Lepisosteus oculatus: one gene and its partner. The protein of the gene in region 1 interacts with the protein of each later gene in a pairwise test. Links are inferred from orthologs where the notes say so. Each region holds a gene or a part of one and is shown on either strand. Other genes may lie near its edges.

The links. The genes of interacting proteins can lie anywhere in the genome.
Region 2: the proteins of E3 ubiquitin-protein ligase TRIM63 (region 1) and gmeb1 interact in a two-hybrid assay, tested with the Homo sapiens proteins (2 studies listed by BioGRID and IntAct). The link is inferred for Lepisosteus oculatus from reciprocal best matches to the Homo sapiens genes TRIM63 and GMEB1.

What each region holds. Positions count from the first base shown.
Region 1 is NC_090706.1:9,007,968-9,015,213, forward strand, and holds the start of E3 ubiquitin-protein ligase TRIM63, read left to right. Parts: upstream 1-4,225; 5' UTR 4,226-4,400; coding exon 4,401-4,559; intron 4,560-6,843; coding exon 6,844-7,010; intron 7,011-7,246. UniProt on the Homo sapiens protein: E3 ubiquitin ligase. Mediates the ubiquitination and subsequent proteasomal degradation of CKM, GMEB1 and HIBADH.
Region 2 is NC_090706.1:5,832,337-5,839,762, forward strand, and holds the start of gmeb1 (glucocorticoid modulatory element-binding protein 1), read left to right. Parts: upstream 1-4,414; 5' UTR 4,415-4,499; coding exon 4,500-4,618; intron 4,619-4,737; exon of another isoform or gene 4,738-4,810; intron 4,811-4,982; exon of another isoform or gene 4,983-6,065; intron 6,066-7,152; coding exon 7,153-7,305; intron 7,306-7,426. Other genes in the region: discoidin, CUB and LCCL domain-containing protein 1, read right to left, coding at 2,084-2,183. UniProt on the Homo sapiens protein: Trans-acting factor that binds to glucocorticoid modulatory elements (GME) present in the TAT (tyrosine aminotransferase) promoter and increases sensitivity to low concentrations of glucocorticoids. Also binds to the transferrin receptor promoter.

The DNA.
Region 1 (7,246 bases):
TTTGTTTCATCATGCTTCCCCTGAGGTTTATTCTCCTATAAAATCTACTGTTGTGTTATTCTATTCTTTGCTTTTTGATGAATGAAAAAAATCATTTTCCCGTTAACATCAAGAGGTCACAGTGGTACAGACTATAGAGCAAAGCTTCAGATCCACACCAAAGCTTCAGACTGGTTGCAGCCTGCAGTGCAGTGTGACATGGTGTCGGCTTTTAGCTGTGACTCAGTCTCAGTGGCCACGTCAAAAATCTGGAAATAGTAATAATAGGATTTTTTATGCAAAGAATGTCAAGTTGAGAGTATAGAAGCACAATACCGCTATTAAAAACAAACTGGAAAAGAGGTGTGCGCCCATCAGGACTACAGTAAATAACAGACCTTCTGTTGGAAGAGTACCAGCCACAGGTGTACCAGATGTATGTTTTTTATTTAGAATTCTGGACAGCTGATAAAAAAAAAATATTTTGTAATTTCTCCTTTATCTTGCATGGATCTCAGGTCTGAAAAATGTGTCAACCGTGATATGATATTTCTTGTAATAAATGTTATGTAAAGTCTTTTGTAAAAAAAACAAATGGCTGCTCTCTAAGAAAAATTGTTCCAGCGGGGAACGAAGCATTGAATTTTCATGAACTACATATGTCCTCTGTACTTTACAACAGCCTACGTTGCACAAAAGCCCGGGTAGGCAAAAGGTGCTATTACATGTATGTATATACTGCCATTTCCTGTGTTTAATAAAGTACTTTTATGCTCATGTTATGAGAGTGGGTTTGCATTTTAATGATATTTGAACTGGTGATCTGGCATCCCTCTGTTTCAGCACGTGAATGATACACAGTAATACAACTGAAGCTCCTTGGGCCCATAACATCAATAGACAACGTTACCAGTATTTAGCTTGATATCTCCTCACATCAGAAGCTTAGCAAGGTTGGGTCTTGTCAGTACTCAGATGGAAGACCTGCAAGGAAGAAGTTGCAGCTATAAGTGGTGGTGGTGTACCAGTATGCAACATGCTTCCCTCTGAACCAATGCTCTAGTATGGTGACAGGTCACACAAGAGGAACAGTCTTTTGGATGAGGCGTTAAAGGTACCTGTACTGACTACAAGGTCATGCCACTGTTCATAGGTGTAGATGTGTTTAACAAATGTCCTAGCTAAATTCCACTCAAGAAAGTGAGTTTCTGTTGCTTTATAATAAACTAACAGGGGGATTGATGTTTTTTGCTCTAAAAGAACTCTAAATCCTAACATACTGAACATATGATGATACCAGATAGACCAGAGGCAATATGTGTAAAATATTATGTTTTTTTTTTTAAATGTAGCTTTGGAAGTTTAAATAAACTCAAATAGGGAGAGAAACACATTTTGCACTGGAATAAAATGTTTTGAAAGTTTTCCTGTTAATGTTTTACCATTTTAAAAAGGCGATTGATAGAACACCTAGTATTTATTCTACCACCAACTGTATATGTGCATAGAAAGTTTTTGTAGTTTGCTTGTTGTTCTTTCACTGTATTACAACTGAAAGTTCCATTTTATATTTTCTGTGCTATGACAGTAAAATTCAATACTCATGACACTGCCAACCTGTTATTCTTGTTATGAGTTTACAGTCTGTGGGAGGGCCAGAAATAGCTTAGCCTGGCTGACACTATGGGCAGGAAATTGAGCCAAAGGTCTCGAGACTGCATGAGCAGACTTGTACAGTAAGTAACAATCGGCTTCGGATGCATATGCTGTGACCCCCTTTTCATACAGGCAGAACTGCTTTTATTATCTCCTCTTCCCTAGAAACCACTGTCTCTGCTGTATTTTGATACAAAATAGAATCGTCTGACTTGTTTGTCTTAGTCATGCTGATCAACAGTTTTGTGCACTAGAGTAACTCCATCCTGTTATTTTAGCTCAATATGTTCAGATGTCCCACTTAGCAGTGGTTGGCATTACGGCCTCACGGTGCTGGGGCTTGATCTGGAGTGCTTTCTGTGTGGAGTTTGCATGTTCACCATGTGTTCTCCCTATGTTTCTGTGGGTTTCCTCTGGGTGCTCTGATTTCCACCCAGTCCAAAAACATACTGGTTGAGTAACTGGCTCTAAGGAAAATTGGTCCTGGCGTGAATGTGTGTGGGTGTTTGTGTCTATGTGTGCCCTGCAAGGGACTGGCATCCCATTCAGGGTGTATCCTGCCTTGCACCAGTTGCTTGGCGTGACAGGCACTAGCTCCGTTGCGACCCTGAATTGGATGAAGAGGTTTGAAGATGGATGGGACTGATGAATTTCTGACTAGTGAGAAAATTGGTTGTGATGTGTATCCTGACTTGCATCTTTTGCTTTGCTAGGATAGACCATAACTCTATTCACCTAACCCTACTCTGTCCTGAAATGCCAGCGTTTTTTTATCTGAAAATTTACCTAAAGAAGATACGGTAAATTTCCAAGCGCGTTTTTCAGTGGTTTTAATGCTTTTAGACATATATTTATTGATTTGAGTAACATTTTCAAATCTGCAGGATTTGGTTAGGGGTAGCATTCCCACAGAACTTACACATATTTTACGATCACCGCTGGATTTGGGGGCTTAGGTGAAATTTAGGACGACTGATAATTTGATCCTATCTTCAAAGATTTTTGCCTGCTCATATTGTTTATTACAGTGTTCGGTATCTATTCCAAAAGTGAGTCAAATATAAAGTTGTAAGAAAACATTTTGTTGTTTAAAATGCAACTAAAATTATAACTCCAGTCAATATTAAATAGTTCTTGTAACCCTAACCCTACTCTGGCTTAAAATGCACAATTGTTTAAATACTATTGTAATAGCGTTTTTCAGCTGATTGAAAATTTGCCTAAAGAAGATACAGTCTTCAAGAAGAAACATTTCCACAAGCTTTTTTCTGTGGTTTTGATTATTTTTTCTAATATTAATTGGTTTGAGGAACATTTTCCAATCTGTTGATTTGAGGGCTTCAGAGACAGATTACAGAATTGCTAACTCGGACCCTGGCTAGGGTTAGGGTTAGCATTCGTACACTACATACACATTTTTTATGCTCAGTGCTGATAATTTGCTCTTCTTTTTTTGGAGAGTTTTGGCTACTCATGTTGTACAGTGTTCAGTAAGTGTATTGCAATGGTGACCCAGATCAAAAGTTGTAAAAAAACTTGTTCTACTGTTTAAACTCTCTTAATTTTGTCAAAGTGCAAATAAATGTTTAACTGCTGTCAACTTTTAAGGGGTTCTTGTTACCCTAACCCTAATCTAGCCTGAAATGCACAATCATCTTGAAGACCATTTTTAGTGTTTCACAGCTGATTGAAAAATGTGTCTAAAGGAGTCTTAAAGATGATAAATTTCCAAGAGCTTTTTTCAGTAGTTTTGATTTTTTCCTCATATCTGTTGGTTTCTGAAACATTTTAAAATCTGATAATTTGAGGGCTTTAGAGACAGATTGCAGATTTGCTCATTCTAAACCCTGGCTTGGGTTAGGGATAGGGCAGGAAAAGTGTTGTTTCTCTATTTGTTTCACAGATTAATTTGGCCCAGTTTTAATTTTGCCCCCTTTTGTCAACTGTTGATTAAGACTTTTGAGAATTAGATCATTTCAATTCAAGATTATACAGTGTTGGTTGTTTTCAGCCTGCATATTCTCGAGATTCAAGTAAGTGTAACTGTTTTTTATTGGGTGTCCAACCCAGACAAAGCAAACAGGAATGCATGTGCAAATGAGGAGTTGTATTTGGCTTTATAGAAGACCTGTTGTATGCAACTACTTGACAAGGCCTTCATGTCAAGAGTGACACATTCTCACAGTGGATGGTGCACATATTCTATTGTAAATGTTTCTACATTAAAGAAGAAACAATCTTGTACCATATTCATAGGTTCACAAAAGTATTGGTAAGATATTGTTAATAAATGCAAACTAACATGATTTACTCAGAATAAGCAATAAATACAAAACAAAACAGTAGGAGCTTTCTTCGAGACCCTGTAGAATCATTAAGAACATACTGTACACAGCAGTGTGTGAAATAAGCCAACTACAGGGAAAATGACCAGATTTATTGTAATCTATCCCTTTAAGGGGTTCTACGAGAGATATCCTGCAGAGGCATTCCTCAGGGCAGCATGTGATAAGGACAGGCAGAGAGCTGATTTTTCTAGGCTAGCTATCAGACCCCAGGAATGCACAGGAGCAGGGCTGGGATCAAGTGACTCCATCCAGGGGTATAAATAGAGCCTGACGCTGGGTGATAGGCAAAACTCTCCACATGCCTGCAATGATTCGGAAAGACAGAGGAGTTATAACAAAAAGGAGCTTCTTTCTTTTCCCGGAAAAGAGTGTGAATAAAGGCCAAGAAGCTGTTTAAACAACTATAAATCTAAGGACATGGATTTCCAATCGAGCATCATCCAGGAGTCCAACAGGATGGAGAACCTGGAGAAGCAGTTGATCTGCCCCATTTGCCTGGAGATCTTCTCCAAGCCTGTGGTCATTCTGCCTTGCCAACACAACCTGTGTCGAAAATGTGCCAATGATGTGTTTCAGGTGAGCTATGTACCTCAGTGCTTGGAGACCAGAATTTCAGTCTTTGCAGTAAGAATGTAGAGAAACATCAATTTCTAGTCACTTATTTTTATTTACTCATGCTGTTGCTCAAACTTTCTGCTACCTAGCTATGCATCTATCCTGTGAAAATTATTTGTCAGGAAAAGGTGATTTAAATACTGAAATCAGAACCCAGTGTAATTCCATGCAATGGTTTAATCTATTATTTCTAACATTAAGGACACACTTTAATTTAGCTCTTAAGGAATCTTTTTCATGCAGAAGAAGACGAGTCAAAGTTTCAATTACTGGCTTGGGTAGTTCGTTCTATTTGTCCAAAGGCTGTCTGCAAAAACTGGACAATGCAAGAAGCAGATTTTTTTATGTGGTCATTTGTAAGATTGGCAATGCGGGTCATAGCCACCAAAATAGAACCAGAATTCTCATGCAAAGTAATTCCAGGATTGCCTTAGAGAAAGATAGTCTAGCCTTTGGCTTGCCAAACGTGTTACCATTCACGCTGAACAGAACGCAAAGGTTGTCTTAGGATACAGTGTGCTTTGTTTCTGTAGTCTTTCAGCTAGAATAATAAAATGACTGATGTCCTGGAATGAGCCATTCACCTTATCCATGGAAGGACAAGAGACTAGGTGGAGAGAACAAAAGCTGTTAAAGCAGGTCATCAAGGACTACATGGGTCTATTTCTGTGGTGTGTTGAAATGTCTGTTTGATTTAATATTGTATCTTTTCCATGAATAGTTCTATTTGAGAAAAAGTTTAAGATTTTAATTGAGGGTATGATATAAGCAACAGAAGACATATTGGAGCTGATTTATAGCTAATATTCATGTAAGATCTTGCATGTAAAAATGCAATGCTGTTATGTCGCAGGCACTCCAATCAGTTGAAATACACATTGTTCCCACAATTGTTGTTTTAAAATCAGTCTCATCTTCTCCCCTTAAGATGCTTGTGTAAACCTGACCATGTAAAACAAGCTGGCTTTCAATTTGAAATCCACACTTATATGATTTATATTCAGCATCTCGGTTTTTTAGTCCAGTTCATAGTGACATGACAAATGCAAAGGATTACAGAGTTATACCATAAATCAAACATAGGTTTTCCTTTTGATGTTTTAAAGACCTAAACAGCATAATCAGTTAAGCTCTCATTATAACAGATAGTTACTGTACAGTTTTTGGGAAAAGGTTGCAAAGATAGTAAGATTAGTATAAGCTATCAAAGGTAGTATCTAGCTAGTATTAGCTATAAATAAGGATAATTAAATAAGTATTAGCTATAAATAAGCTATAAATGGCTGTTTATAATGGGAAATACCTTATGATACTGACCAAGGTTTGACTACTACAGTGTCAGTGCTATCAATACTCTAATCAGTATTGCATATAAGACAAAAATAAAAATAATAAACTTCTGTATTCACTAATTTATTTTTTTTATTTGAACATACTCTACAGTTAGAGTTAGATTTGAATTTAGAATGTTTTGTTCATTCATAAAGAGATCTTGAAAGGTGGTATATAAAAACAGATTATGGCAGAATGACTGACTTTCCCAGTGTTTTTCTGGGCTTGTGGTCACATTAACCCCAAGCATTTCTATTAACCCAAAAATAGAACGCTGGTATGGTTACAGTAAGCTTGTAAACACTTGCTGTTTGCTGCAGATGGAGGGAGTAGATCACTTTGCTGGCTGTAGCCACTGTAGCAATTGACTCCCACTGGGAGGAGTGGTGACAGTACCAAGCCCTGAGAAGAGCTCCTTGTACACAGCTGACTTAAAGTGGGGTAGCACATTGACAGACGAGCATAGCGCAAGGCGCCTATTAAAATTGCTGTGCCTATTAAAATTCAGTGTTAACCTGCTTTGTGTCTCTCAGCATCATGACATGATCCATTTTCAGTGTTCATCTACAGCAACCATGGTTGTAACTCAGAGCCAGAACCACCAAGTTTATTTTTAATAATGATAATAATGGAATTTTATTTGTGATCCCTTTCCAAGAAACTAGAAGTGTTGTTAATTAACAACAGAGTCCCATTCTTTGTGTAGAAACCAGTGACTGGAGAAACAGAAGGATATTGGGACTGCAGTGCCTTACCATTAGAACGTCCCTTGACATACTGAATATTCTAATGAGACACACCTTGCCTGTGCCTGCCAGCAAGTATCGGCAATGGGACCACTTTGCCTTGACATTTAATGCCCACGAGATGCTCCCCTACTGGCTTGCTGATTCCACATTTTTGGTTGTTCCAGGCTGCAAACCCGTACTGGACGTCCCGTGGTACTAATATTTCGGGAGGCCGTTTCCGGTGTCCATCATGTCGTCACGAGGTGGTCCTGGACCGGCACGGGGTCTACGGGCTGCAGAGGAATCTGCTGGTGGAGAACATCATCGACATCTACAAACAGGAGAGCAGCAGGTCAGAGCAACAGCTGCAGAGAATGGCTTGCCACTGTGCAGTGTGACCACACGCACGGTGTTTACAGTACAGCATGGTAGGACTGATTCTGCTGCTGCAGGACAACATTAACATCTACAAGGAACTGCTAAGTAAGAAGGCGGACACACAACGCAGTCACGGTACAGTACGAAGTACACCTACATGTAGAACAACCAAGAAAAATCCATTTGTGGTGAATATAGCTGACATTCTCA
Region 2 (7,426 bases), about 3.2 Mb from region 1:
TTTACAAATTCTGAATTAAACACAAACTTGTGAACTCCTGGTCTGGCTACAGGCAAGAGCAAGAATATAATGTGAACTGTATGAATTGCATGAAGCAGCCCTTCCTGCTCACTAGTCACTGTAATGACTAATGTAATGTGATGTACCAGTGAAGAAGTTCAGGTTGTGCACCTGACATTTCACTGCATAAGTGTTCCTAGTGATCTGCACCCAGAGGTAACAAGTGAGTAGCATTTGTCGGCAAAACTGTCTTGAGGTTGAGAGCAATATTGTTATATGGATTAAAAGAGATGTATTCACAAGCCAGCGTGTTTACAGTGTAATAAGTCTGCTTCACCTCACCGGAAGTTTAATCATTCAATACCATTTCTTTTAACAGGCCAAAACAACCAATGAATGTTAAGGTAAAACAACCGATTACTATAAAAGCACCTATATTACAATAAGGTAACTGTCTAATCAAACTTGTTTTTTTTAACATGCGAGCTGACTAATTTTGCTCACATCAAATTTGGCACAACAGATTTTGTGGGTGCACTTAGCACCCAATTCTTTTTGAATGTATTAGTCACACAAGGTCCTATCCATAATTTCTGCGAGATTTTACAGTCAGAGCTCAGCCACAACTGTACTGAAAGCATGAAAATCATTCTTAATTTCTACAACCACTCTCTTGCGTAGTAAAGGAAACGCATCATAAAAATAATAGTTTTAAGGGTTTTCCCCCATAAATTACTTAAGGTGAAAAAATGAAAGGACTACAAATGTTGACGGAATAAAAAAACGAATCCCCAAAAATTATGCAATGCATTATGATGAGGTGTATGAACAATGATCTAATATATACAGAATGCGCGATTCATAATTGCTGCATACAATAGATCGAGTCCTACAAATGCGCCATATATCCAGTTCAACCTATATTAAATATTAGTATTTTTGTTTCGTAATTATAACCTGATATATTTGATTAACATTGCACCGAACGATGTGTTAAGGAGTGAATTGTGCATCACTTCAAATCAATACGCGCGTATCTTTGTCGTTTTTAGAAGATCTTACAAAATCTAGTGATATTCCTTGTCAAAACCAGAGAATTCCAAGCGGCGTGTTGTGAAGCACTAGAATAGTTATTTGGCTACACTCTTGCGCGTCCTACTGCTTTTTCGTTTTGCATTTTTATTTCTTTTTGCAGCTCGTATTCTTAGCAAAACAGCGATACGACATTATATTGCTCTTAGCCCTTGATGGCAGTAACTGTAACTGTTTTGATTGACAAAGCTTTATGTTAATTGGCAATACTAATCAGTTTATGTACTGGTGAAACAATATTCAACTGCTCTGCATCGTCTCCGATGCTCAGAAGAAGTCATTGATATATATTGTTTGTATGAGCCAGGTAGGCCATTACAAATCCCTACAGAATAATTAATAAAGCAATCAATGGGGAAAAAAACAAAAGCGCTAGGAGAACCATTCGCGATCTACAGACATTCTTGGTGGTGAACTGTACTGTACAGTATGTACTGTTGTTCATCCTTTCCAAACTACAATTTAGATTCCTCCCCAGAGTGCACGCAGTGCGGGCAGGTGTATTTGTCCTCACCTCAGCGACGCATGATAATTTACAGCTCAGATAAACACTGTGCTTCTGCAGAATATCAAACTCGTGGTGCTTATTTTACTCCCTTTACTAATTCTCCTGAACAGTGAGAACCGTCTGTAAAATTATTCTCGGACAGCGAAAGGGCTGTTGTCGCTTTGCTATTTTAACACAGTTTTTCTTATTTTTTTGTACTTGGACGCAATGAAAATTGTCTGAACAGTATAGACTACAACAGAAATCATATGTTAGTGTCGAACAAACCCAGTATCCGAGAAGCAGTTATTCATTAACAGTACAGTTTAACTGCACTTCCCACAGAGCTGACCCCGACAGGATAAAACACGGTACTTTCAGGGTTTGAAAGACGCTTCGGGAGAAAGGAAGAAAAATAAATGCCTGGTTTAGTCTTGACCTGTTTGCTGACCATTTGAATGTAAAAATCGAGTGATAGGAACGTCAAAAAAAAAAACGACTTACCTTCTTGCCCGTGAATTCCCTGAGTTTCAACAAATAAAATCAGCAAAAATCCGGTTACAAAATCGACAGTGTCCAAAACGCTTCCAGGTGTCGCATACATGGTGTAGATGAGCTATCTCCAACACCGCGACCCCTGCAAATCAGCCATCAGTTACAGTTTATTCTTTAATACAAGCCAGGTTGCAACTTTACTTGACACAAATCAAACAACCGAGGCGCTGACTACTTTCCATTGGCCGAGCGCGCAGCTAGCGCTCCGGGATTGGCTGGGGACGACGCCAGTCAGGCAGCCCAGTTCCAAGAACCCTTGTCCAAATAAGGTCGAGCCTCTGCGGGAATTTTGCTGTGTTACAAATTATTCCCCCGTTTTTTTTAGTGACATCATGGATAATTAGTCTCCGAGGGATGCGGGGGCAGCATGCGTTTAGAAAACAGTCATTGCTGAGCAGATCCTCAAGCCCCCCTCTCTCCCTCCCTGGACTCTTGAGAACAGTTTGATCAGAAATCTAGACAAACACTTGTTGCTCACTCTGTGAAAATTATCGCTCTTATCCTGCAGTGTAATGTATTGCTTCTCAATGAACTTCACTATCCCGGCTTAGCGGTTGCTTTTCTTTAACATTTTATGGTAGAATCGAGTTTATTGGGTGATTTAACTACATAACACCGTGACTTAATTAACGTAGATACATAATAGAAATATGAACAATTGTGTTTTCTTCTTTTTTCAGCATGGAATAAACCTATTACTTGTTCCTTTACAGCCTACGCATGCTGACGCAGCTACCCAACTGAACTAATACAAATATTATTCCTAAAGCTCGACAGCCTCTTGTACGCTCACATTCCGAAGACCTGCTTTCTTCTGAATTTGAATGCAAATAATATTATTGTTCATCTTCTGTTGCCAGTAGTGAATAACTGCCCTGCTGTACTGTAGATAGGACTGTCTTCTTTCTGTAAATAGCCCACACGCTAGAGCTAAGACCTCTGTGTCAGAGGTCAGACAAGTGCTGTGAGCCGGCCCCTTTATCAATGCGGCTAGCGGATAAAAATTGTCCCTCAAAAGCTGGAATAATGGTTGAAAGTTTGTATAATTTGGACGCATGCAAAATCGATGTGCACCTATAATAGGAGGAATTTTGTTAAACTGATAGCAAAACTAATAATACAATCTTGTCATTCTGGGTCCATACCACTTTTTGTCTGAACAGTTTTGGCCCGTAATAAACTGGCTGAACTTACCAGTTCTAACACTGTAATGATACGAATTAATGACAGGTGTACGCCTCTCACGGATACTCCACGGTTGTAAAATTGAGTGCTCACGGTGTCTTAAATGAGTAAATTACAAATAGTATTACTTCCATTTAATAAATCTGTGTTAAACATTGATGAGGGTGCAACTATTTGTAGTCACAGGAAGGCGTTCTTTGTGTGTAGATTGTTCTGCATGCCTGAATGAACACGGTTCTATCAGGATAAAGTGCTATTGAATATGATTTGACCAGTGCTCAAAAGATTGCTATGCTTAGTGCTTTACTAACGTGTCAGGTCAAACTTTGTTACTGGAAGCACCTCCTGGAAGAAAATGGAAATTGATGCCAAATTTTTTATCCAAGAGCAAAACCCGAGTCCCACTAAAAATTCAATAAAAGCAACAGTGTGAAAAGCATTAAACAGCATTCTAATTGCATGCCTTTAATTCAGCAGACTAGAGAACACCACTGATATACTTTAATGATAAAATATCCTTAAAAACGTACGTGTACTCCTGTTGATGCCTAAACAGCATTCGTTGAAAAAGCCTGACATCTGGCGGAAGGATTGATCATATTTTATTTGAAAACCAGTACATTCACCGTTTTTAATCGGAAAACGATTACTAATCACGACAGAATGCAAAGCTTGACAATAGTGTTCACATATAGTTAAGGTACAAGCAGTCTCGTCTCAGGCAGGATTAAAATGAAATAATCCACAGCGAAACCTCAGAGTTCCGACAGACGGAACTGAGTTGGGCTCATCTCACGCTATATCGAAAGGAAAAAATATCGATTAGGATTAGTATTACTTTACCTGTCTAACTTTACGTAAGAGAGAGATCAATGCTAACTTAATACTTAAAATTGAACGCGAATAACAACAGGCACTGGCAACATATGCGCGGTTGTATAAGATATTGAGTGATCTCCACAGTACGGCTCGTCAGCTGCAAATAAAACGACCGTAATGAATAACTAGCTATTGCATAAAACATAATGACTTGACGCACATTTTCCCAAGGCCATGTGTGCCTGTCTGGCGTTTCGCAAGCCACGATACCTTTGTGGGCATCCAATGTGCTAATGCGGTCTATTTTTGCAAACTTCACGCCCGCCCGAGCCGCCCAGCGCGGCGGCTGTCGGAGGGACAGATGGTGCACAGCCAGGCGCTGCTCCCTGCCTTCGGAGCAGGAAGTGTAGCCGAGCGGCACGGCGCATGCTCAAAGGGCTCTCCTGGAAGCTCCGGGGATGTGTTCGCAGCTGTAAAACGGTAAGAAAAGACACCGAGGGTCGAGTAAACGCGGCCCCGCCGCCTGCAGCGGGGTGCGAGGAGGCGGCTGCGGGGGAAGGGGGCGCCGGGGGAGGGCGGGGAAGGGGGTCTGTGCGGGGGTAATGCCCCGGGAGCGGCGCGGACGGCCGTTTGGAGCGGAGCAACGCCGTCGCCGCGGCGCTTGTTGTTAGTGTACGTGCCGCCGCACCGGGAGACGTCAGTTAGAGGGGGAGCGGAGGGAGAGAGAGAGGGAGAAGAAAGACGGAGGCACGTTGGCGGCCGGGGCCAGACAGGCAGCGCGCCGTGCGTTGTTAACCTTTGTTGGTAGTGTTACATTGTACAGTGTAGCAGGACGAGGGGAGGGATTGTGCTCGTCTGCCTTTCTCGCCCATTTGCTGTGCAACAGGAACAGTCTCTCCCCCACCACCACCTCTCTCTCTCTCTCACATGGGGATCTTGGCGCAGAGGAGGGCAGCGTTGACTAACCCACACGGCCCGGGCGCAGATAAACGCGAGCAATGTCTGGGTTAAAGCAACAAAAAACAAAAAAAGAGAGAGAGAGGAGGTGAGCAGCGAGCAGCGAGCAGCGAGCGCGTCGTTGCACAAAAGACCGGCTGTTTTGGTGCGCTGCGTGGGAGACGTTGCCTGTTTTTCAAAACAAAAAGCAACAAAGTCACGTAATTTGAAAGTAACTGGAGTCCCCTCCCTTTTTTTCGAAAAAACTCGCTGTCGATTTTTGAAATCTGTGCCTTTTATGTTACACGCTGCAATTCGTATTGGCGTAGCCCACGGTTAGCAAGCCCGGTCTTGAATTTAGCAAGTTAGCACGGTGTCTTATGCTGGAGGAGGGATAAGGCATTCCAAGGGAGGATTGGTAGTGTTTAGGAGTTAAGCCAGATTCACACAGCTGTGGTGGGATAATAAATTTCACTTGTATTTTTCCTTTCGTTGATCTTGTCACCTGTTGCCCTCTGAGTCTGGTCTGGCTGGCTGGGCTCAGTTGCTGAACTTGGCAGGAGGTCAAAACGTGTTATGTTGCTTGGAGCGTTCTGCTCTGGACATTTGGCTTTAATAACAACAGAAGTTAAGAGAGTGCTCGCTGGTCACTACAACTATTTTTTTTAATAAACAGAGGCTTCAGCCCATGTATATTGGTCTCCTAATTCCTGTCCCTGCAAAAGAACTGTTATATGTTACGATTCTTTATGTGCTCGACTGGAAAGTGTAAATGGTCAGGGTTTAAAAGAACAGGTTGTAAAGTCTTTTAAAGATCATAAGATCATAAGATATGGCCAGCAGCCATATCACCCTGCAACTCACAGCTGGCAGCCCACTGAAACTCAGCAGTGTGAGCCTGGTCAGTACCTGGATGGGGGACCTCCTGGGAAAAACAGGAAAAACCTGTAAAGCACTTTGAGTGGAGTATCCAGAAAAGCGCTATATAAGCGTAAGCAATTATTATTATTATTATGTTTAATGTAGAAAGACAATGTCTTGGTAAATCGTTTAAAATTAATGAAGTGGAAAAGATGCTATAAGCAGTTCAGTAATGTCTCCATTTATGAAACTGTAATACTGTCTTACATAGTATGCAGGCTACCTGCCTGTTTGAGTTCTTGGAATGCTGTCTTTTTGTGCTTTGATTTGAAAACTAAATTGAAACGAGGCTTTAATAGGGGGAGTAGGGGGAGATAGTGATGCCATTTATGTAATTCATTTGGCTTCTTTGAATATATCACGTTAGCCTATATATATATTAACTGCAGTTGGTAGCTTAATAGATATAATACAAGCATCAATCATAGGGAATTGCAGGGAATACTAGTTAAAAACCTAGAAATTTATAAAATATAAGTCTTTATTACAATACAATATTTTATTTTACAAAAGAGGGTTTGAATGTAACCGACGAAAGGCCCCCAATTTGTCTTGTTTCTGTGAGTAGTGATGAACTCCAGAACAAGAGATGAACTTTTCAGTTCATCTTAGTAGCAGGGAATTTGGTGCACATAAGAGCCAAAAGTAATTTTCTGATAAACTGCTAAGCTGAAAAAGAGCTGTTGCCATGGAGCTTACCGTTCTAGTGTGGAAATTAACAGCACTGAATAAACTTACATTCTAACCTGTTCAGTCACACAACACCCCAGTGTCACCTTTTACATCTGAATCTGACAAACCACCAAAGGAGTACTGTGAATAAATTATTTTGAAATAACTTCTTTTTCTTCTAAGTGTGCTTTCATTTCGAACATGCTGAAGTCTGTTCGTAGTGCACTATGAAGTGTAGTGCACGATTAAGTGTTCTTGGACTACTACAGTAGTCCAGTCTTGAGGAAAAAAGGCCTTGCCCAGTATCTTGGCATCTGACTGGGACAGAATAGGTTGCCGGCGTTGTAATGCTGATCCATTCCCTGCCTTTTGTAGTTCCTTGACGGCATGTAGGCCTGGAACTCTGCACACTGAGCTGCGCCGGTAGGTGCTTGCTGGGGAGATGGGTGGGTTTCACCAAGCGAGTCCTGTCACTGTCCCCGCAGGGCCCTGCGACTCGGCCAGGCAGCCATGGCGAACACGGAGGTGACGGTCTCCATGGGCGACGTGGTGGTGGTGAAGGCGGCAGGAGAGGGGGCAGACCCCGCTGACAGCACCAAGACACAGGTCATCCTGCAGCTGCAGCCCATCCAGCAGGGGTAAGACACAGCGCCCCTCTCCATCCTGGGGACAGGAGGATCGGATCTTGTCCCAGACATCCACTAACAGCACTAACAGTGTTTTCCTTCCATTTTATCGACAATAATGACTGCGTTTTTT